2 linked regions of the Nothobranchius furzeri genome follow. The protein of the gene in region 2 purifies or fractionates together with the protein of the main gene of each other region. This does not show direct contact. Links are inferred from orthologs where the notes say so. Each region holds a gene or a part of one and is shown on either strand. Other genes may lie near its edges.

Region 1 (11,248 bases), on a different chromosome or scaffold from region 2:
CAGCTACATGGATGTTATTTTAACTGCAGTTGCAGCGTTGCGCCACTACAGGGGCGCTGTATCAGCAGCGGCGCACCGAAAAGCACTAAAACCGCTGCAGACAAAGAAGATCAAAAATAGCTTTTGTCCCTAGTCAGTACATATCTATGGTTGGTGCTATTGACATCCTGATTGTCCCCCAGGCTCTTCCATATCAGAGCTGTACAGTGCGGCGAAAAAAACTGTCTGTGCGTGTCTGTCTATGTTTAAACGTAGAACTGGTGCAACATCTTTGATTTACTATTTTCCCCAGAACTTTATTGAACAAAAGTAAGTTACGTGTAAGAAAAATGCTTTTTACTGGTGCATAGTGTGGTCATCTGGATGTAGTGGAGGAAAATACAGGAACCAGCAAAGGCAGAACCGGTCCAAAGTTTGGGATCAGAAGTGCAGCTACATGCAGATTGGCTAATGCTAAAGCTAACGGGTAGCAGTCTCACGATCAAGTGGCGCACAAAAAATATATGATGACGGTAAAACTAAGAAAGACTAAACTCTACAAGCGGATGAAAAGTCCCCACCATCCTGTTTATTCTGCATCCTGCAGCGTTACGGATCAGAGCCGCTGCAGATACGAGTCACATACATTACTGCTGGTGCAGGAAGTATGGCAAGCCGTTGTAGTATATAATTCACAAACGCTTCTATCTTTGAACATAATTTAAACTGGATTACTGCCAACCCGTACATAATAGACATGCCACCATTACATTGTCGTCGTCGTCTTCCTCCGCTTATCCGGGTCTGGGTTGCGGAGGCAGCATCCCAACTAGGGAGCTCTAGACCGTCCTCTCCCCGGCAGGACCCCAAGGCGTTCCCGGACCAGATTGGAGATGTAACCTCTCCAACGTGTCCTGGGTCGACCTGGGGGCCTCCTGCCGGCAGGACATGCTCGAAACACCTCCCCGGGGAGGCGTCCAGGAGGCATCTGCCCAAACCACCTCAACTGGCTCCTTTCAATCCGGAGGAGCAGCGGTTCTACTCCGAGTCCCTCCCGAATGTCCGAGCTCCTCACCCTATCTCTAACCCCCAAATTCCACTACCTCCGCTCCGCTCCGGTCCGCCCCCGCCTTCCGCAGCCGCTCGCTTCCGAACTCAATTTTACTGGTACCCGCTCTACAACGGCTCCGCTCCGGTGCGGAGACCTGAGGGGGACAAACAAGCATGCGCGGGATTTTCGAGATCTTGCGATACAGTCCGAGCAATAAACGCGGAAGTTAGATCCAAACACCCGTTGTGCGGGAGAAGCATCGGAAATGAGCTGTTTAATCTGCCCATCATTGTGTTGAGAGATCAGCAGTGTTTGGATCAACAAAGTGTGACTACTTTGATAGTGGCAACTGTATTTATGGCTTATTTTTGTGCATTTAAACTTCAGCCGCCATTGATAGTTGTTAAAAGTTGTTAAACCTGTGCATATGAAACAAAAAACGCCTTTTGTTTAGCGATTTATTGTGAAAAACGGAAGATGTGCTTGCTCCTTTTCCTGTTGGGCCGTTGTGATTTCTGTCCATTTACTGCGGAGGTGCTCCGGCGTCCGGCAAAAATAGGATCGATTCTATTTTTGCCGGACGTCGGAACAGAGGGCGCCGCACGGCGCCGCACTGCCGGAGCACGGCCGCAGTAGTGGAATTGCTCTGATTGACTAGAACGGGACCGATTTTGCTCCGGCGTCCGTGTCGGAGCGGAGCGCAGCGGAGCGGAGGTAGTGGAATTTGGGGGTAAGGCTGAGCCCAGCCACCCTACGGAGGAAACTCATTTCGGCCGCTTGTATCCACGATCTCGTTATTTCGGTCATTACCCAAAGCTCATGACCATAGGTGAGGATTGGGACGAAGATCGACCGGTAAATCGAGAGCCTGGCTTTCTGGCTCAGCTCCCTCTTCACCACGACAGATCGGCTCAGCGTCCGCATCACTGCAGACGCCGAACCAATCCACCTGTCGATCTCTCGATCCCTCCTACCCTCACTCGTGAACAAGACCCCGAGATACTTAAACTCCTCCACTTGAGGTAGGACCTCTCCCCCGACCCGGAGTTGGCAAGCCACCCTTTTCCGGTCGAGAACCATGGTCTCAGATTTGGAGGTGCTGATCCTCATCCCAGCCACTTCACACTCAGCCGTGAACCTACCCAGCAAGAGCTGAAAGTCAGAGCTGGATGAAGCTAGGAGGACCACATCATCCACAAAAAGCAGAGACAAGATTCTCCTGCCACCAAACTCGACACACTCCACACCACGGCTGCACCTAGAAATTCTGTCCATAAAGGTAATGAATAGAGCCGGTGACAAAGGGCAGCCCTGGCGGAGTCCAACCCTCACTGGGAACAGGTCCGACTTACTACCAGCTATGCGGACAAAACTCACGCTCTTCTGTTGTCTGTGATGAAGATGAACAGAACAACACCGCAGCCTCACTGATGAACTCCTTCCTCAGCTCACAGCCCGACCCCAGACATGCAGGTGTCTGGCTGGAACAGGTGAGCATCACAGTGGAGCAAACTGAGCTTGGCTTATTTTGATTTTAGGCACTTTTTCTGCTTCAAAGCACAAAGGTAACAGGCGAGAGCAAAAAACAAGGAATAAAAAGAGTAAATAAATGAAACATAACTAAGTAACAAATACCACTGATGTGTGCTTTATTTAAGGTCCATTTGCTCGTGTGTGATTTCCTTATTCCACATTCAGTGTTTTGGTAAAAATAAGTTTGTTTCCAAATGAAAAGCTTCAACAGTACACATCTGTAGATAAAGGAAAATGTACACATTTGTCTCACTTTTAAAATATATATATTGAGTTTGGCCCGCAACATCGTCCCAGTTTTTCATTTTGGCCCAGTGTGAATTTGAGTTTGACTCCACTGTCCTAGATGGTTACTGCCCTGCATGTTTTAGCTGTTATCCTGATTCAGTGCTTGGACCACCTCATCAGCACCTCAAGTTCTGCAGGAGCCGGCTGACTCAAACCAGCTACGTTGGTACAGGAAACCCCCTGGGACCGTCTAGTTGGATTAAAAAGCCCACAGTCATATAAGAATATTTTGCTACTTTTACAGCATCAGCAGCATCAGTCTCAAAGAAATATCAAATTGGTCCCACAGAAAGTGTGGCACCAAACCTAATTCAAGTGTTGCACTGAATGTGATTAGTTTTGTGATGACAGAACAAAGAGAAGAGTGAGAAAATGGAAGTACTGTGTGCTTTAGACCGGCTGATCCCCCAACCAGTTAAATTTTAGTAAAGTAAATATCAGCTCAGCAGACCATAAAACATTAGTTTTAATTCTCGTCAGCGATAGAGAAGAAGGGTGTTAGTTTTCGTTTGTTTTTCTCTATATCTTACCATGACAGGATGGTGGAGACTTCAAGGATCACTCCTCCTTCTTGACCTTCACATCTCCATCTACAGCCAGGATGGTGGAGATCTCTCCCTGCATGAAAGCCCAAGGCACAGTGGATCCAGCCAGGGGACAGCGCTCCCCACTTGGGCAGTACACCTCCCCACCCTGACCCTGGCTGCGGATGAATCCTCGAGTGCAGGGGAAACAGAACTTGTGGTGTGGGACAGACGGACACTGGACAAAGTGTGTATCTTCCAGACGCTCTCTACAGAGGGTGCAGCAGAGCAGGGCGCTCTGTGTGCTGCTCGTGCTCTCCCCGGTGTTGGTGTTACTACTAGGCCCCATTGTACTCAGACCCTGCCCCATGGCTGCCTGGGAGGCTGAGGTGGAGGCGGTGGAGGGGCTGCTGCTGGTGGAGTGCCCAGCTCCCGAGGAGTGGGCTGCAGACATGCTGGGGCTTTCTCGAGCCATCTGACTAGAGCTCAGGCTGTCTGCAACTCCCATGAGAGCAGAAATGGGTGAAGGCTGGCTGTGTAAACGTGGCAAGCTTTCTTGAGGAGCAGCCATGCCCGGAAGAGGTTCTGTGTAGGCAGCTCGAGGCCAGGGTTCCCTTGATGGATGATCTAGTCTCCCGTCATTCTCTCCATTCTCTGAGCCAGGAGAAGCCTTACGGCGTCTGCTTGTTCCCTTTGCTGGTCCTGGACGCCCAGGAGCTGCCAAAGACAGTACAGGGTCTGGCTGTGGCAGGACCTCTGGGATTGGGGGCTCTTTAAACATGCGTACACCGTCATTCAGCAGCTCAGACAGACCACGCCAGTCTCCTGTGGCTTGTCGTTTTTCGTACTCCACGTATCTTAGCCCAGAGTTCACTGCTTTGCCTGCATCTTTGGCTGAATCCCGGAACATCTGCCTAACAAGGTCTGAGATTCCAGAGAATATGATTCCAGAGCCAGCAGGATATTCCACAAACACCCTCAGCTCAAACTCTGGAGTTGTGCTGGCATCAAAAGCCAGGACGCGACCCAGCAGGTTATGGTCTTTCCTGAAACGCACGTTGAAGGGGATGGAGTTGCTGAGAGACACAAGAACATCCCGGACTGCCTTTGGGTGGTTTGGCCAACCTTCGACCCTGCTGCGGGCCACCTCATTCAGTTCTGCCATCAGTTCACTGTTCCTCCAAACTGCTGGATCTAATCCCACAAGAGCAGAGGTGCTGGCTCCCACGCTCAAAGATACTGCCTGCCTTCTGCCAGCATCACTCATTACAGGGCCAGCTGAAACTGCAATGGACGTGGCCCCGGCTCTGGAGCCCGGTAAGGGAGCTAAAAGCCCGTGAGGAGCTGCTACTAGCCCCTGAGCTATTAAAGCATGAGATATGGAGCCATGCAGACCGGGTATTGAACCAGCGACAGCCCGACGGGTGTTCGGGCTCTGACGGCTCCCCTCAGACAAGGCCACATCTTCAGCTCTGTGCAGACCATTGGGGAGCCGAGAGGACGCCCCATATTCCCCCCTCCCTCTGTCTACACGTTCACCATGCTGCCGACCCACCTCTACGGAACCGACTGAGCTGGGCTTGCCCTGCGGTGGACCCGGAGACCTGCCATCCAGAACACCGTGAGTGCTCTTCAGCTGCCGGGCGGTTTCAATAAGCAGCTCTATCCGGTCCGCGCCGTCGTAGTTGACACATCCCCGGCACACCGCTTCGCTGAACTCCCACAGCATGGCCCACGGCATCTTGGGCAGATCGCAGAGGTAGCACCACTGGCGTCTGGAGGAAGACTGCGAGGCGGAGGACATGTTGTTTACAGGCCCGGAGACCAAACTTTCTTTAGAGGCCTACACGTTACGGTTCGTGTTTCTCGGTTATTCTTCAACCCTCGGACAGTTCGCGTCACATGCCACGACTTATTCAACAGAAACAGAGTAAAAACAACACTGGAACGCGACAAAAGTGTAAACTAACGAGGTTTTCTGTATCTGTTTGTTCGTGTGGTCTGTGTGGGAGGAAGTAAAATGTTATAAGACACCGGAAACACCTACGTGACTCAAGCGCAAAGCCTTGTGGGTACTGGAGTTTAACAGGTACGCAGGCAGTTTTATCTCTCCCCATCTTTTTACTACCGTCATCACACACACACACACACACACACACACACACACACACACACACACACACACACACACACACACACACACACACACACACACACACACACACACACACACACACACACCAGATCCCAACTCGCCAAATGTGGGATAAAGGTAAAAAAATTAATGCAAGAAGATAAAGTAAAAAAAATAAATAAACAAATATTCATCCTTTTAGCTCTAATATCACTGTTAAATATACATTAAATTATTATTATTATTTGTATTATTATTATTATCATTATATTTGTATCATTATTATTATTATTATTATTTCTGCCACACTAATATCTGAATGTCATTCCGACTAGTGTGGTCGGATCATGATAAAGAAGGTTGAGTTTCTCAAAACTTTAAATATTCCAATCTCTGTGAAAGATTACTCGATAGTTTTTGATGCAGTTCCACCTGGTTTTATTAGACTATTCCAAAACAAAACCGAATTTACAGCTAACACCAAAAGAATAATGGAATTCACATGCTGGACAGAAAACGTAACAAAACATTTTTCAAACATAAAGTTTATTCACAATGATTCCTAAATGTCAGTTCTTTTGGGAGAATACAATAAATAGTAATAATTGGTCAGTATTGCTGATAAATATATGGTCATCAACAAAATTAAAGAAGTTCCTTTTAAAATAGTTAATCAAATATATCCTATAAAATATTTTATTAAAAAATATAGAAAATAGTTAGTTGACTCTTGTACAGCTTCTGAGACAATTCCACGCCTGTTCTATGATTGTGTATTTGTTAAATATTTTTGCTTTTGGACAGCATTTTAATTTCACTTTATTGACAAGAATATGAACTTACATTCAAGAGATATTATTTTCCTTAAAAATAAAAAATAAATCTTCTTAAATGTCTCCATGTAAACAAGCTTGCAGAAATGTCATATTGGAGACTGAATAAGCCTCTCTAAATAAATGTATCACTTATGTTGTGTGATGTCTGAAGTCTGTTACATTTCTGTCTGAGGTGTTTTTTGCATAGCAAAGCTGCCCTCCCTGTGGAGGGTAACTCTGAAGTGCCTTTTTTTCCTCCACCTGACTCAGTCCTCATATAAACCCTCTGATCTCTATTAAGGTAGTGCGACGGGTTGTGAATGACCACAGTCACCAATTCTTGTCATGTGTCTTGCCTATGTATGTATCTCTGATCTCAGAATTGTGTACTGAAACTCTAATTTCCCTCTGGGATTAATAAAGTATCTTTAAATTGAATTTGAAGCTTATTTATTTTCTGTCCCTCAGTAAGCAGCTATGATCAGCAGCAACAGAGGTGATGGTACCTGCTGGATCAGCGTCACAACCTGGTGGAACATTAAAACCAAGATGAATATCTGTCATATTTACTACCTAAAACTGATGTTTTTAAATACTCCAAGAAGTTAACTTCATCCTGCTGCTCCTCTGAAATGTTAAATACACTGAACAAAAATATAAATGCAACACTTTTGTTTTGGCTCCCATTTATCGTGAGGTGAGTTTTGTCAAAAAAAAAATCAACATCATAAAAATATAAAAAACTAAATCATATTTTGTGTGTTATGTCCAGAGGACTTCTTTTGGGAGTGAATTGTGACGGCTCTAGTCTCACAAATGAGCATAAAAACAGGATTTGTGTACTCTGTATATTTTTGAGTATTGTCAGATATTCAGTAAAACTCAAACTTAGGTCCCTCACACAAAAAAATGCATTTTAGCAAAATGTTTAATAAAAATTACATATTTCAAGTCAAAACTTTTTTTTTTACAGATTCTTTCCTTAGCTTCAGTCCTCACCAAAAATAGTAAAATATTTGAGTGTTTTGAAGATTTAACCCTTTAACACAATGTTTTGTAACAAAATAAATAAAATATTATAACCATGTGTGTTATAAATCAGTGCCCTGCTATTTATAGAAAATTTATGCCGTTTGGTGGAAAAAACAGGAACACAGTTGGAGTGAAATAAAAGAAAATAATTCATGGATATTTAGCTTTGTTTAAAAAATGTCTGAATGGGAGTCAATGGCACTAAAAATGTCTGAGGGACGTCCGTTTTTTGTCTATGCAATGTTTTAAATGGAGTAGGGGGTGAACATTTTATTTTTGATAAACTTCCCCAAGAACACACACCAGAGCAAAACATAAAAAGAATTGCATCAGCACAATCAAAGTTATTGAAAAAAAATGACTGCCTGTGCAAAAAAAAAAAAAAAAAAGCACAAGTGACCTCTAAGGGTTAAAGCACACGTGAACCGCAAAACCTGAGCTCTCATCACAAGTTTTACCGCCATGTTTTGATCTCCTGTCATGCATTTTTGCTGCTGCTGTCCTTTCTAGACTTGTGAGTTTGACACAAACTTTTCAATGGGCCAAGAGCCACCTTGCTGTAATTTTATAGATTTATTTGTTATGTGTGGTCATATAAAAAATTAAAAGTAATTCTAAATTTAGTTCTAAAATTCGAACTTCTTTGGTAAACAAGTGCCTGACACAACAAATACCTGGCTCCAAGTACATCTGTTGAGACCATCAGTTGAGACGTGCTGCGGGTTCCGGAGTTGGTAAGAATTTAAGAGAAAGCACGGCTCAATTTCAAGCTTTATTTGAAGCAGAACAGATTATTACAACAAACACAAGTGGGAAATGTCTGAAAAACTGTGTAGTCCACACGATTATTACGTGTGAGATGTTTAATGAAATTATTCCAACAAAAGTAAAAAGAACAGTATCGGCATCATGAGAAGGAAGCATCAGCTGGACACAGATTTGGTCTAAACACCACTTCCAGTTCTTCTGTTCTATTAGAACAGCATCCACACCAATTTTAGAAGTAGCACTGAATCACTGCTGGCTGTTCACCTAGATGACAACATCTATTTTCATGAGCGGATTTGTTTAACCTTAGTTGTGTTCTTGCTGTGTCGTATCTCTAATTCCATGCTGTAGTTCTTTTTTAAAACACAGAGCAGTTTGGTTACCTGTTTTCCCGCATAGCGGGAAAACAGGTAACCAAACTGCTCTGTGTTTTAAAAAAGAACTACAGCATGGGATTTGTTTAATTATTAAATCATGATATTAGGAACAACAGTCAATGATCAAGTACTCTGACTACTCTCATTTTAACTTGTATTTCAAAGCCAGATACAAGAGGAGAGGTTGTGACGTGAACATACAAAAATAATTGATATAAAAACAGAATTCATGAAAAAGGTTAAATATAAGAAACATTTTCTCACGCACATTATTTCTAGTTTTAGTGAATATACGATCAACAAAATGTGCCAACAGAACTGCAGGTTAAAGACTTCAAACTGAGAGGGCAGTGTTAGTTGGTGTGGTGTGCGGTTGAGAAACACAGCTTGAGTGTGTAAGGATAAGGCCCACCTAGAAGAGAGAGAAAACAGAGAAAGACAAAGCTTTCAATTACCAACCAATCATCTATTTCTATAGCACCTTCCACTACATTCACAGAAGCCTACGGTGTTTTCACTACCACAGTGCATGGTAAAAAGGTTATAAAAACAGCAGATATCATAAGAACAAATAATAAAAATAGAATAAAAGACCCAGGAAGTTAGCCAGGCTGCACAACGCCTCGCTCCAGCAGGACACGCAGTGGCATGAGCGCACCTCCTGGAAGCATACATCACTAAAGCAGACAGCTAACAAAATAAAGCTGAAAAAAATAAATAAATAAGTAAAAAAGTGCCGCCATTAACACTTCTTATTAGAATCAACTGAAGACCCAGCTTATCTTCCTCAGTGAGGAAAGATCTTTTTCAAAACCCTCGCTTTGGCGTCAGACTCTGGCTGCAAGTCTCATTTTTCTGTCTTTAAGCTAAACAGCTGAGCTGTCTGCTGGACATTCAGCCTTCTCATCAAATACGTAAAAAAAACACTAAACTACAGAGAAGTAACTATCTTTCACATCTCTCCAATATCTAAAGTTTTGTCTCACTGTTTACTTCGCTCTGTGACAGCTGATCACGTTAGGGTTGCAAGGATTAACCTGTTTGACTATTAACCACTGTGTGGACAGCTGCGGTTAACCCACTGTAAAGATGTCTCCAACACCGCAAAAAAAAAAAAAAAAAAAAAAGTGAACCAAAGCAAAAGTGAAACTGAAACGAACGCACCCAGCAGAACCAGCGTCAACAATCACCGGGACTTCTCTGTTTCCACTTAGGAAGCACTTCAAGTCTCCTGTGAGGGAATATTTTAGACTCCCAAAGCTGCTAAAAGAGAAATTCAGAACGATGTCTCATCCATCCACAGAGCTGGCAGAAAAATAAAAGTTGCTACACTCCCAATTTATCATCACTGATATCATCACGCAGACAAATGAGGTCCCAGTGAGTCAGATTACATTAGTGGCTGAACGAATTTAACAGCAATATTAGAACAATCCAGTGAACAACGGTTCATATTGTGCTGTTCTACGTTTCCCCGGTACCCGTCTACAACAAGCCTGTGCGGCAACCCATTTTTCATATTTTATCAACTACACCTCTCTGTAATTCTTGTTCTACATAGCAATAATATAATTTATCCTTGTTCAAATAATATTCTTATTGATGAAATCTGAAAAGATATAAACAAGTATGAATTACATTTAATAGGTAAAATTCATAACAACAACTGCACTAGTAGGAATCTAGCATCTTTATTCATTAAGGTGTCTCCATCCTTCAGTGCTAACCCTGACCAGTTAAACCTTCTTGTCTTTTTATTGAAACACAAAAACGGCTATTAAGCAAATATAATTAAAGGTGTGGTTCACTGAAAAATATTTTTTAATGATTATTTTTGATAATTACTCTGAGTGTTTCATGCAGGCTGAACATGAAAATAGTCTCCTGCTTTAGCTTCTGATAGAAACTAGATGGTGAAACTCTAGGATTAGAAAGGCCTGACAGATCTACGTCACCCTGTCACTTAACATTCATGTACTCACCCATCTTGACTCAGAATGGGGAAGGCTGTTGTTGGTTTAGCGTCCATGAAACAGCAGAGAACATCTCAACTAGTAGAAGCTAACTGTTAACATTAGCAACTCCACTTCACAGCAGAACTTCTCCAGGCTTGTGTTATTTGTGGAGATAATGAGTAGTAGAGAGCATTTTTCTGAGCAAAATCTCTGAAAAGTAATGACAGATAATTCAGGGGTTCTAAACCTTTATAGAATGTAATTATGCCTTTTATCAATAATTTACAGAATGTGTGTGTGATTTATATATATATATGTTAATACATATGCGAAATCAATTCATGTAAATAATCACGGTAATCCTGAAACTGATGATTTCTCACACTATAATCGTACCACCAAAATGTATAATCATTGCAACGCTACATCACGCCTGTGTTGTTTGCAGCTTTTTCTGTCCCTCAGCAACAAAATGCTATTGAACCCATCCTTATTGGTTGAATATGTGATTTTAAACCCAACCCAATACTCAACTGGGAGCCAGTGAAGTTGCACCAATACAGGAGTGACATGCTCCCTCTTCCTAGAACCAGACAAGGATCTCACCACAGAATTCTGGACCAGTTAAAGGTGAGCAATTGCACCCGAGCACACACCAGCATACACAGTCTTACAGTAATCAAGACGTAACAATAAATATAGAAGAGAATAGTCTACCTTTAAACACATTGGTATGTAAAAATACAATAAATGAATAACTCACTAGGGTTTTTAATTTGATGATGGTTCATC
Region 2 (10,503 bases):
AAAGACAGAGGAAACTTAACTTTGATTAAGGCAAACCAAAACAGCGACAAATAAACATTTCCAAGTCCTACCTGACCCACTGTCAGCTACTGTAACCTCCACCAGTTCCTCTTTCAGGATTTCCTCTTTGATTAGGTCAGCAGGTCCAGACTGAGATGAAAACAGAGGAAGAATATTCAGACTGGCTGCAAGCTTTGGGCTTTGAAGGCTCACGTTCCACCAGAAATAAACAGACTAGTTACCAGAACCCCTCAGTAACAAACAGCTAGTTAGAGATCAGACTGCTTCTACAAGCCCTCACCTTCCCATCTGTTATGAGGACGACATTTAACAGGTCCTGTTCCAACTCTAGCTGCTCACTATTCTGTTGGGATGAAACCACCTTCAGTAGGGGTGTGTCAACTTGGGTAGTAGGGTTGGGCGATATGTTAACTTCTTCCAACCTTCAATTGTCAGTCTAATAAAATATGATGGATGATAGACAATGATAGACTGCTGGGCTTTGTGGTTTCTGTCAAAGCAGGGAAACTACCTTGTATAAAAAAAATCCCATCTGACCCTCCACGGGTGGTCCCATCCTTCCAAGATCAGGTCCTCTACCAGTGTTTCACAACCCTGGTGCTCAGGGACCACTGATCTGCTTGTTGTCCTTTGCTTCAGCACACCTGAGTTATATTACCTCCTCAGGAGGACATCAAGTGCTACAGATGCCTGTTAATCACTCATTTATTTAAGTCAGGTGTGAGGCAGCAGGGAAACATGGGTGCTTAAGAGGGCAACATGGAAAACATGCAGGGCAGTGTGCCCTGAGGGCCAGGGTTGGGAAACACAGCTTTACCAGAGGCTTGGAGCTTGAGGGTTCTGCAGTATCTTAGCTGTTCCTAGAGCTGCTCTTTTCTGGACTGAGATGTCTGATGTCTTTCCTGGGATCTGCTTTAGCCACTCCTCCAGTCTGGGAGTTACTGCCCCGAGGACCACAGGCACCACGGCTGTCAGACTACCCACCCTTTTTGGAGTCCTTACAGGGTGCTGGAGAGTGCTCCTTCAACTGCCTCATTCTGCTGAGGGACTTTAACGCTCATGTGGGCAACGACAGTTCGACCTGGATAGGTGTGGTTGTGAGGAACGACCCCCCTGATCTGAATCTGAACGCTGTTTTGTTACTGGACTTCTGTGCATGTCATGGACTGTCTAAGCAACACCATGTTCAAGGTGTCCATATGTGCTCTTGGCACCGGGATACCTTAGGCTACAGTTCAATGATCTACTTAGTTTGTTGTCATTTCATCTGATCTGCGGCCGCATGTCTTGAACACACGTGTGAAGGGAGGGGCGGAGCTGTCAACTGACCACGGAGTTGGTTTTGGTGGTGGGGGAGGATGCGGTTTGGGTGGTCGCGGAGGCAAAAACCCGGGTGTGGGAGCAGTTTGGTGAGACCATGGAGCAAGATTTCTGTATTGTAACAAGGAGATTCTGGTCCACCATCCAGCGTCTCAGGAAGTAAAAGCTCTCAAACCTAAAGTGCGCTATCAGCACTGTTTACAGTGATGACGGTGTACTGCTGACCTCTACTTGAGACGTTGTGGATTAGTGGGCGGAAAACTTATAAGACGTCCTCAATCCGACTGGCACGTCTTCCAGTGAGGAAGCAGAGTCTGGGAACTTTGGGTTGGACTCCTCTCTGGGGCCGAGGTCACTGAGGTGGTCAAAAAAATCCATTGTGGCAAGACCCCGGGGGTGGATGAGATACACCCAGAGATTCTTAAGGCTCTGGACGTTGTAGGGCTGTGTTAGTTGATGTGATTTACACAATTTACCGGTTGATCTACGTTCCTACCCTCACCTATGGTCACTAGCTTTGGGTAGTGACCGAAGGAAGGAGATCGCGGATACAAGTGGCCAAAATGAGTTTTCTCCACAGGGTGGCTGGGCTCTCCCTTAGAGATAGGGTGAGAAGCTCGGTCATCTGGGAGGGGCTCGGAGTAGACCTGCTGCTCCTCCACATCGAGAGGAGCCAGTTGAGGTGGCTCGGGCACCTGGTCAGGATGCCTCTTGGATGCCTCCCTGGTGAGGTTTTCCAGGCACAATTTTTGCCAACACTGATGCATAGGTTGACATTTAGACAAAAAATAATGCAAGCTGAATTTTTTTAATGTCGTTTTTTTCTATTAAGTGAAAACTAGAAAAAAAAATTATATATATATCACAAATAAATGAAAAACATGAACACACTTTCACTTTCGTTTTGGTTTGCGCAAGTCACACTGTTGTCCTGTTGCGGTGTTGGAAATGTCTACAGTAGGTTAAGTGCAGCGTTTCACACCATGGTTGATAGTCAGACAGGTTAATCTCTGCAATCCTATTCTCCATAAAGTCTTTTAGCAACGGGGAACCTAAGTCTCCTCCCTTTTTGGTCAGCTCACGGGCCCCCGAACAGGTCGATAAGTTAATTCTCGAACCAGCTTTGCCTTACTCCCTGAATCACATGTTGTACCTCAATTTAAAAAAAAAGTAATTTGTTTTGACTCTGACCATCATGTACTTTATTAGCTTGTTAAAATTTGTAATTAAAATGTCTACAAATCAGACGTGGCATATATGACGTCCTCTCCCCAAGCGTAGATGCTGCTTACAAAGGTTAGAGGTATTTGCCCTGATCTTTATCATGTTGTACAGCGCTTTGTGATTTATATCTGTGAAAGGCGCTATATAAATAAACTTTTACTTACTTACTTACTTACAACAAGGACAGATTTATAGTGATTTTCTCAACGTTTTATGCTTCTTTCAACCACGTCTGGTTTGATTACCTCAATTTAGTGAGACTAAGATTAAGAATAAAGTCCCATTAGTCATCAAGCACTGGTGAAATTTGCTCTCCACATTCGTCCCATTCCCATGGGGAGCGGTGAGTTGCAGACACATCCACACTCTGGAACCATTTGGTGGTTTAAACCCCAATCAAACCCCTTAAAGCTGAGTGTCAAGCTGGGAGGCATTGGGTCTAGGGTTGTCACGGTGTGAAAATTTAACCTCACGGTTATTGTGACCAAAATTATCATGGTTTTTGGTATTATCGCGGTACTTTTTAAAATGTGTTACATTTTCAGACGACTAAATAAACCCTGTATATCAGGAAAATATTGTCCTCAGTTTGTGTCTAAATTTTGCCTAAAATTTATTTTGTAATTATGTTGTTTATTTGTTTACATTTTTCCCCTTTAGTCTTTAAAATAGCAATATTTGCCCATAACTTCTTATTTTTTTGTCTGTTTGATGTCATCATTTAAAAAATATTAGATCAGATGATACTCAGTACTCAAGTAGCCTTCTAATCAGATACTTTTTTACCCTTACTTGAGTAATAAACACTATATCAGGAAAATATTGTCCTCGGTTTGTGTCTTTCCAGTGGGCTTTGCAGATTTGGGAAAATGTCATCAGGCAGTAATCATTGTTAAATTCACGCAGAGATTTGAAGCGTTGCTGCCTTTCACACACTTTTTCCTGCACATGCTACAAACAGGATAGCCGTCTTCTATCAGCTGTCCCTCGGCATTCTTCAAATATCCAAAAAATGCCCATACTTCCGACTTTGTCTTCTTTGAGGGATAATAAATGTCCTGAGAGCTGCCTTCTCCTCCTTTGACCATTATTTCAGCTATTTCAGCTTAGCTTCAAGGAAGTTTTGGCTGTAAACAAAGTGCACATGTGCCGCCGGCAAATTCAGCAGATAATACGGTGGCTGGTAAGGGTCACCGCGCCTACACCGCAGCCACGGTAATCCACCGAGATAACATATTTTTTAAAAAACAAGACGGTTATTATTATTGCCAACTTTTTTACCGGGGTTCACCACTACACCGGTTACAGTGACAACCCTAATTGGGTCCCCTTTTTTCAAATCCGGTCTGGTCTTTGGTATTATCTGACCATATTTGAACCCACAAAGTCCCAGTCCCAGGGTGGACACTCATACCACTAGTCCGTTACATCTTTTCACACAAAACCTAAAATAACCGTCGCCAGCATTAAAAAAAATCAGAGCTTTCTTGGCATCAAAATACGTCTTTAAAAATCGCGGACATCATATGTGAAATTCATGGCATTTGTCAAACTGGATCAGGAAATGACTTAACCTCTCAGAGTCATATTCGTTTTCTCTTTTTGCAGTTGGGGACCCATGGTCCGGCAGTAGATGGGCATGACTTAGGTTCCCTATGACTAACATGCCAGCAGACTTTAAAACAAGGTGTAGGTGAGACAGCAGAACCACACTGTCCAATCAGCATTCCTCATCCCAACATCCCCCACACACAGTTCACCCACCTCCTTATGTCTTCTAGACGTTCCCTCCTTGTCAGCCTTTTTCTTTCCTACATACACACCCAAGAGAAAAAGTCAGGTCTCAGGTCAAATCTACAGCAGGTGAGCAGAACAGAACCAGAACTCACCTTTCTTTAGGTTCCTCTCTGAAGACGAGAGCATCTTATAAACCCTAAAGGCGTTGGTACCCTTTTTGATGCTTTTATCCTTCACCTCCTCGATGTCTGGAAGGCTGTTCATGGCACAGCGGAAGTTGGCCTTCCATGTCTTTGGATCGGGTCGGTCTACACCTTGCTGATACTTACCTACAGCCCAATGAACCAGAGCACATGGTTCAGACTCAACAGGTCAAGAGTTTTTCTACAGTAACCCAGAGCTGCCCCTCCCACTTTTGTAAGCCAACTATTATTGCATAACTCTGAAGTGTCTTGGATTAGCAACAGCAGAAGAGAAGCAGTCACCCGTGTGTATGGCCCATCTCATGAAGAGTGGGGCATCTTTCTCCAGATCCCAGCCATGACGAGCCGCATGCATCCAGGGGATCTGAAAAATTCTCTTTTCCTGCAGATCAAGTGCTTTTGTTATCGTGTGAACCACAACACGTGAGTCTGAGCTCGTCTCCAGGTGGACTCTTACCTTGTTAACCCACTTTAGTCCTGGGATCTGACAGGAATTAATCTGCTCCTCCAGCCACGGTCGCATCCGCATCCTCTCCACGGGCATTTTCAGCTGTGGACACACAGGTGTACACGCTCAAGTCATGGTACACACACACAGCGTTTCCCCTACATAGGCTCAAGGGTGGCGCTGTGCCACGGCTCCAAATAATATGTGTGTATATACATATATATATATGTATGTGTGTATATATATGTATGTGTATCTATCTATCTATCTATCTATCTATCTATCTATATATATATATATATATGTATATATATATATGTATGTGTGTATATATTTGTATGTGTATCTATATATCTATATATATAGATATGTATATATATATGTATGTGTGTATATATATGTATGTGTATCTACATATCTATATATATATAATATATATGTGTAAATATATATACATATTTAAAATATATATAATACATATGTATTAGGGCTGCACAATATATCGAAAAATTATTGCCATCGGGATAACAGGACGTGCGATAGGCCAATCGCAAAGCACGACAAAAATGGCGATAAATGTTTTGTTCAAACATTCCCATCCGTGTCATACATCAGCTTTTTGTAAACCAGCTGTTTTTTACGTGGCAGTATTATTATGACCAACATGTGGCCAATCAGACGGGTCTGTTCACGTAAAACGCCAGCCCCCTACGTAGACCCTTAGGATGGAAATTAAACCCCGAACTGAGTTAGCGGTGCCGTTCCCTTGTTCGTCATGCTGGCTCAGAGCAACAAACGCACTTTGTGCTGAGGTTTCTGGAGTCAGCACTGCTTTCAAATGTGAACGTGAGTCCGCTCGGTGTCGTCAATCACTTTTATCGGGCTGACTCTGACACGTGCCGGTGAACCAACCCACCTTTGTGTCGCTAGTGTTCCACCGGGTGGTGATGTTAGCCCCAGGCTCCGGTTAGCTTCCAGCTAAAAGGCTACAGCACTCTCCTCCCAGTCCCACCCTGCTAAAGAGGGCCTGGAAAAGTTCCCCCACACATCAAAGTGATTTTTCATTTATGAGCTTTTATAATCTTGATAATCAGGATTAGGGCTGCACAATATATCGTAAATATATCGTTATCGCGATATCAGCATGCACAATATGCATATCGCAAAGAACAGATAAATATCGTAATGAATGGTCAGCTCAAATGTTTGCTACACATGAGGCATTCTGTCAATCAAATAGAGGTGTGATGTTTTTTTTAACAAATCAAATACAGCTCTTCATCCATTTGGCCCAATGGGTGGATTCTCATAGGTAAGATGTCCGCCCCCAAGGCGGACAGCACTTAATTTAGATGGTTAGCAAACACCTGAGTTAGCTTAGTTCTGCTCTTTCTGCTGATTCTGCTTTTCCTGGGATCCACTGATCGCCTTTTCTTGTTCATTTTTTCCCCTTTCCTCACATCTTTTGTTTTTCTCATTTTTATGATTTTCTTATTTCCTTGTTGTTGATTAATTTAGTTCCTGAGTTAAATTTTTATTTATCGCAAGTAATATCGTCATCACAATATTAATCATTGTTATCGCATATCGCAGGTTTTCCTAATATCGTGCAGCCCTAATCAGGATAGTTGATTTGCTGCTGCACCTAAACTGTCAGTCAGAAGCTCTGCTAGCCGGTTGTCTTAGAGGAGCTAGTTCAATTTGTTAGCTTGTTAAAAGAATCATAGTTGCAGTTTCATCATCTGAGCTGCTTTTTAAGATCTAGGTAAACTTGTTCAATTTGGGGTTAAAAACAAACGGTTTCACATATTTTCCATGTAGTTTTTTTTTGCCAGTTCCTCTTCTGAAAGGTAGACAAATGTTTTTCTCTTCCCCTCAGAAAATCTTAATATTCTCCTAGTTTGGCCCAGCACAGTTCACTTCCCAATTGCAGCAACAGCCTTGTATCATAACCACATAAGTGGAGAAAATGTTCAGTAGCAATGAGAGAATTTGCTGTTGCATTTAAGTGATGTTAACTATTATTTAACATTTAAACTTATTTTCTGTTTTTTATTTATTCAAAAAACCCTGGTAAGTAGGGATGCACCGATACCTCTTTTTTCCAAACCGATACGATACCGATACTTGGATCTGAGTACTCGCCGATGCCGATACTTCCACCACACAAAAAAAATGCAATGATTTGGAATACAGATTTTATTTTCTTCTCTGCTTTCAACAGGAAAAGACTGTGAGGTAGATAAAAAGTAAAATATATGAATGGAAATCATCACAAAACTAAAATATTAGGTGAACAGAAATGACAAGTTACAGTGAAGCCATTTTCAAGCAACTGCATTGGTATTGGTTCCTGGTATCGGCAAACTTTTACCGATACCGATACTGGTATTGGTATTGGCACGGTATCGGTGCATCCCTACAGGTAAGGGATGTTTTTCTGTATTTGGAGCATCAGAAAAAGTTTTATGGTGGAGGTGATGTTTTAAAGTCACTGAGAAACTGCATGCATGCAGTTTGTTGTTTTGCTGCTAATACAGTAGCAGGTGCAGCTGCATATTTTTGCAATAAAAATGTTATGTTGTAATGGAATTCATGCATTAGTTTTTGTTAGCTTTGAACCCAGAGCAGACATCACACGCCAGACGACATCAACACTGCATACCGTAAATCCTCCAATACAGGCCGGTATTCAATTAAAGGCCGGGTCTCCAATTGTGGCCGGTGTCAAAGCCAGTTGAGGTAAATATTGGCCGGTCTCTTATTGTGGCCGGGTGGAATGTAGTAACAAGCAAGTATGAGCGTCCCAGCGGCAGGGTTATAGTCCCCAAATGAACCAGCAGGAGGCAGTAGAGGTTCAAGCAGACCTTTATTAGGCTTTTTCTTCAACGCTTTGTAACGCTACAGACACAATCCTCTATCACGCTCCTACCACACAGAGTCACGGTGTCAGTTAACCATGCTAATTCAACCCACTCCACAGAACACACATCAACTTCCCTGTGGCTTACATAACACTCACACAACACGCAAATCAGCACATAGGAACTAGCAGAACGATAGGAAACACATATAACACAATACCCAGAAAGCACCTGGCTTACAACCCCAGCCAGGTCATTACACTGTCAAGTTCAAAGAGAACGTGCTGATTATGCTGCAGAACACTCTGGAGAGCAGCAGTAGGGGGTGTATGAACTAGTCAACTTCACTATAGTGACTTTTTATGCCTGTCGTCGACTAGTCGCTGTCACGTGATAATGACCGGCAAGATGCAGCCCTCGGAAAAGACAGCAGTCTGCTGTCAGCAGGTGACAAGCTCCTGCGCTCGGGGGTGGGGGGTGGGGGCAACGCGCTGTGCCAGACCGTAGGTACTGACACGCGATCGTTCATGTTGGTTCATTTCCTTTAATGTTTTCTGTCTTTTATTTGCGCCTGATGCGTTTGCTGCATGCTGTGGAGCGGGGCGCTGCACGCATCACCTTGTCCTCCGACGCACTCATCACTGATACGGCCGACAAACAGCGAGCACTCCGCTGTTTTTGCGGTCAGTAGATCTTTTAGAACTGCAGTTCAAAGGTAACTCATGAGGTGAATATATATGAACCCAGGTAGCAGTTTTTCTTTAGGATTGAGAGGAGATGCAGGAAGATAATAAACAGGCAGGACAGAAAAATAGTCAAATAAAAACAAGTTAGTTTTTGTACCTGCTGTTGCAACAAACAGCCACCATTGAAGGTCATCAGAAGTGAGGAACAGAAAATGAAATAATTATTTTAATGTTTAGAGCAGCAGGAACTCCGAGAGGCTGCAGGCGCATCAGTGAGATTGCGGCCGCTGCGCAGGGGGAGGGGGGAGAGGGCTAAAGCAGGGGGAGGGGGGAGAGGGCTAAAGCAGGGGGAGATGGCTGAAGCAGAAACTACTGTTGTTAAAAGAAATGTGTTTAACTTTGAAAATGTGGGCGCAATTTTAATTGTCAAAAACTCCAAGGAACATTAGTTCATTTTGCTCAAATTGAAATAGAGGCCTGCCTCTAATACTGGCCCTCCTTCCAATAAAGGCCTGGAGCTTGATGAGCTTGAGTCAAATAGAGGCCCGGGCCTGTATTAGAGGATTTACGGTACTTTAGTATTTGTTCATTTATCGCGAGTAATATCGCAATATTAAGCACTGTTGTCGAATATCGCAGGTTTTCCTAATATCGTGCAGCCCTAATATATATATATATAATATATACATATACATACACAATGTTCAGCATAAATGAGTACACCCCTTTAAAAAGTACTAATTTAATCAGGAGCTCGATGAACAAAAGAACAGTCTCCAGAATGTTCTCCAGGCTGGTTTTATGGAACACGTGTTTAACTCCATAACATGAAATTAAGTTAAATAAAATAAGTTAGATACAAAATCTTCAGTTTTACTAAAACTGGTTGAAGCAGAAATGAATCCACCCCACAAAGACAAAAGGTGGGGAGAGAGGGGGGAAGGGGGGGTCCACAAAAATAAACAATAATGAACAAGAGTCTGCTTCTAGACCTGCAGAAAAAGAGAAGAAAAAAAGCAAAAGAACAAAAAAAAGGAACACAACAACAATACAAGATCAAGCCATCACTGTGTAAACTTGATGAAGAAATATATAATCAACATTGTTTAACTGAACAATCACACGATAATAAATCACAGTGCATTAAGTGCCCACCATAGTCTTAAGACCTGTGTTTAATGTGCCCAAGCCCATACTTTTGAGAGCACCATGTGAGCACCTGTGTGTGTACACGCGCTTGTTTATGTAAGGTTTCTCTATAGGAGCGTCCAATAGAGAGTGTGAGGGACCACAGATCCGCCCCCCAAAGATGCGTAGGAGACGGGGGGAGCTCCAAGTCCCAGAGATCCAGGCGCTGCCCCAGAACACAGGAACCCCAAGGAGACTGCAACCAGAAAGGCCCAACGCCCCCCTCGAGAGGCACAGAGGATCGCCCTGGGGGGCCACAACCAGCAGCCGGCAGAGTCCCGGGAGATATCAGCGGCAAGCCAACAGGCCCGCCCGCAGCCTCCCACCCCCTAGCCGGCCGAGCCCGGGACCCAGCGACCCGGGACCCAGGGGCCACCACCCCCGCCGGGGACCCAGCAGAGCCCAGGGACCCAGACACCACCAGGCAGCCACCTGGATTGATCAGGCAGATGCCAAAAATCTTAAACCCCCTGACCCGGGAGCCACAAACACTCAGGCAGACCAAGGCACCACACCCCACACCAGGTGTGGCAGGGGGAGGGGGGACGAAGATCTATATCATCAAAAGAAGTTTCAGGAGAGGGGAGGAGTCAAAGGCCCCACCTGACATATACAGTCATACACAAACACAGTCACACACTCCCTCCCTCATGCTCACACATGCACATACAACCCAAGACTTACAAAAATGCACACCGGACACCTACTCATGCTCCCCATACACACCCTATTCACTCTGGTCCCGGTACTGCTGCACATTGGGTACAACCATCACCGGTAACCAGAGTTTGACCCTTTCTGCTGGGGTGCTG

What was found. The genes of interacting proteins can lie anywhere in the genome.
Region 1: the proteins of irf2b (region 2) and interferon regulatory factor 2-binding protein 1 purify together in Homo sapiens (affinity purification with mass spectrometry; 4 studies listed by BioGRID and IntAct, counting the BioPlex papers as one, with this or other methods). This does not show direct contact. The link is inferred for Nothobranchius furzeri from reciprocal best matches to the Homo sapiens genes IRF2 and IRF2BP1.

The regions. Positions count from the first base shown.
Region 1 is NC_091750.1:43,015,819-43,027,066, reverse strand, and holds the start of interferon regulatory factor 2-binding protein 1, read right to left. Parts: upstream 5,367-11,248; 5' UTR 5,180-5,366; coding exon 3,410-5,179; 3' UTR 3,382-3,409; intron 1-3,381. Other genes in the region: heterogeneous nuclear ribonucleoprotein L, read right to left, coding at 8,855-8,913, 11,220-11,248. UniProt on the Homo sapiens protein: Acts as a transcriptional corepressor in a IRF2-dependent manner; this repression is not mediated by histone deacetylase activities. May act as an E3 ligase towards JDP2, enhancing its polyubiquitination. Represses ATF2-dependent transcriptional activation.
Region 2 is NC_091741.1:103,990,901-104,001,403, forward strand, and holds part of irf2b (interferon regulatory factor 2), read right to left. Parts: intron 5,056-10,503; 5' UTR 5,050-5,055; coding exon 4,963-5,049; intron 4,888-4,962; coding exon 4,788-4,887; intron 4,632-4,787; coding exon 4,455-4,631; intron 4,377-4,454; coding exon 4,330-4,376; intron 151-4,329; coding exon 72-150; intron 1-71. UniProt on the Homo sapiens protein: Specifically binds to the upstream regulatory region of type I IFN and IFN-inducible MHC class I genes (the interferon consensus sequence (ICS)) and represses those genes. Also acts as an activator for several genes including H4 and IL7.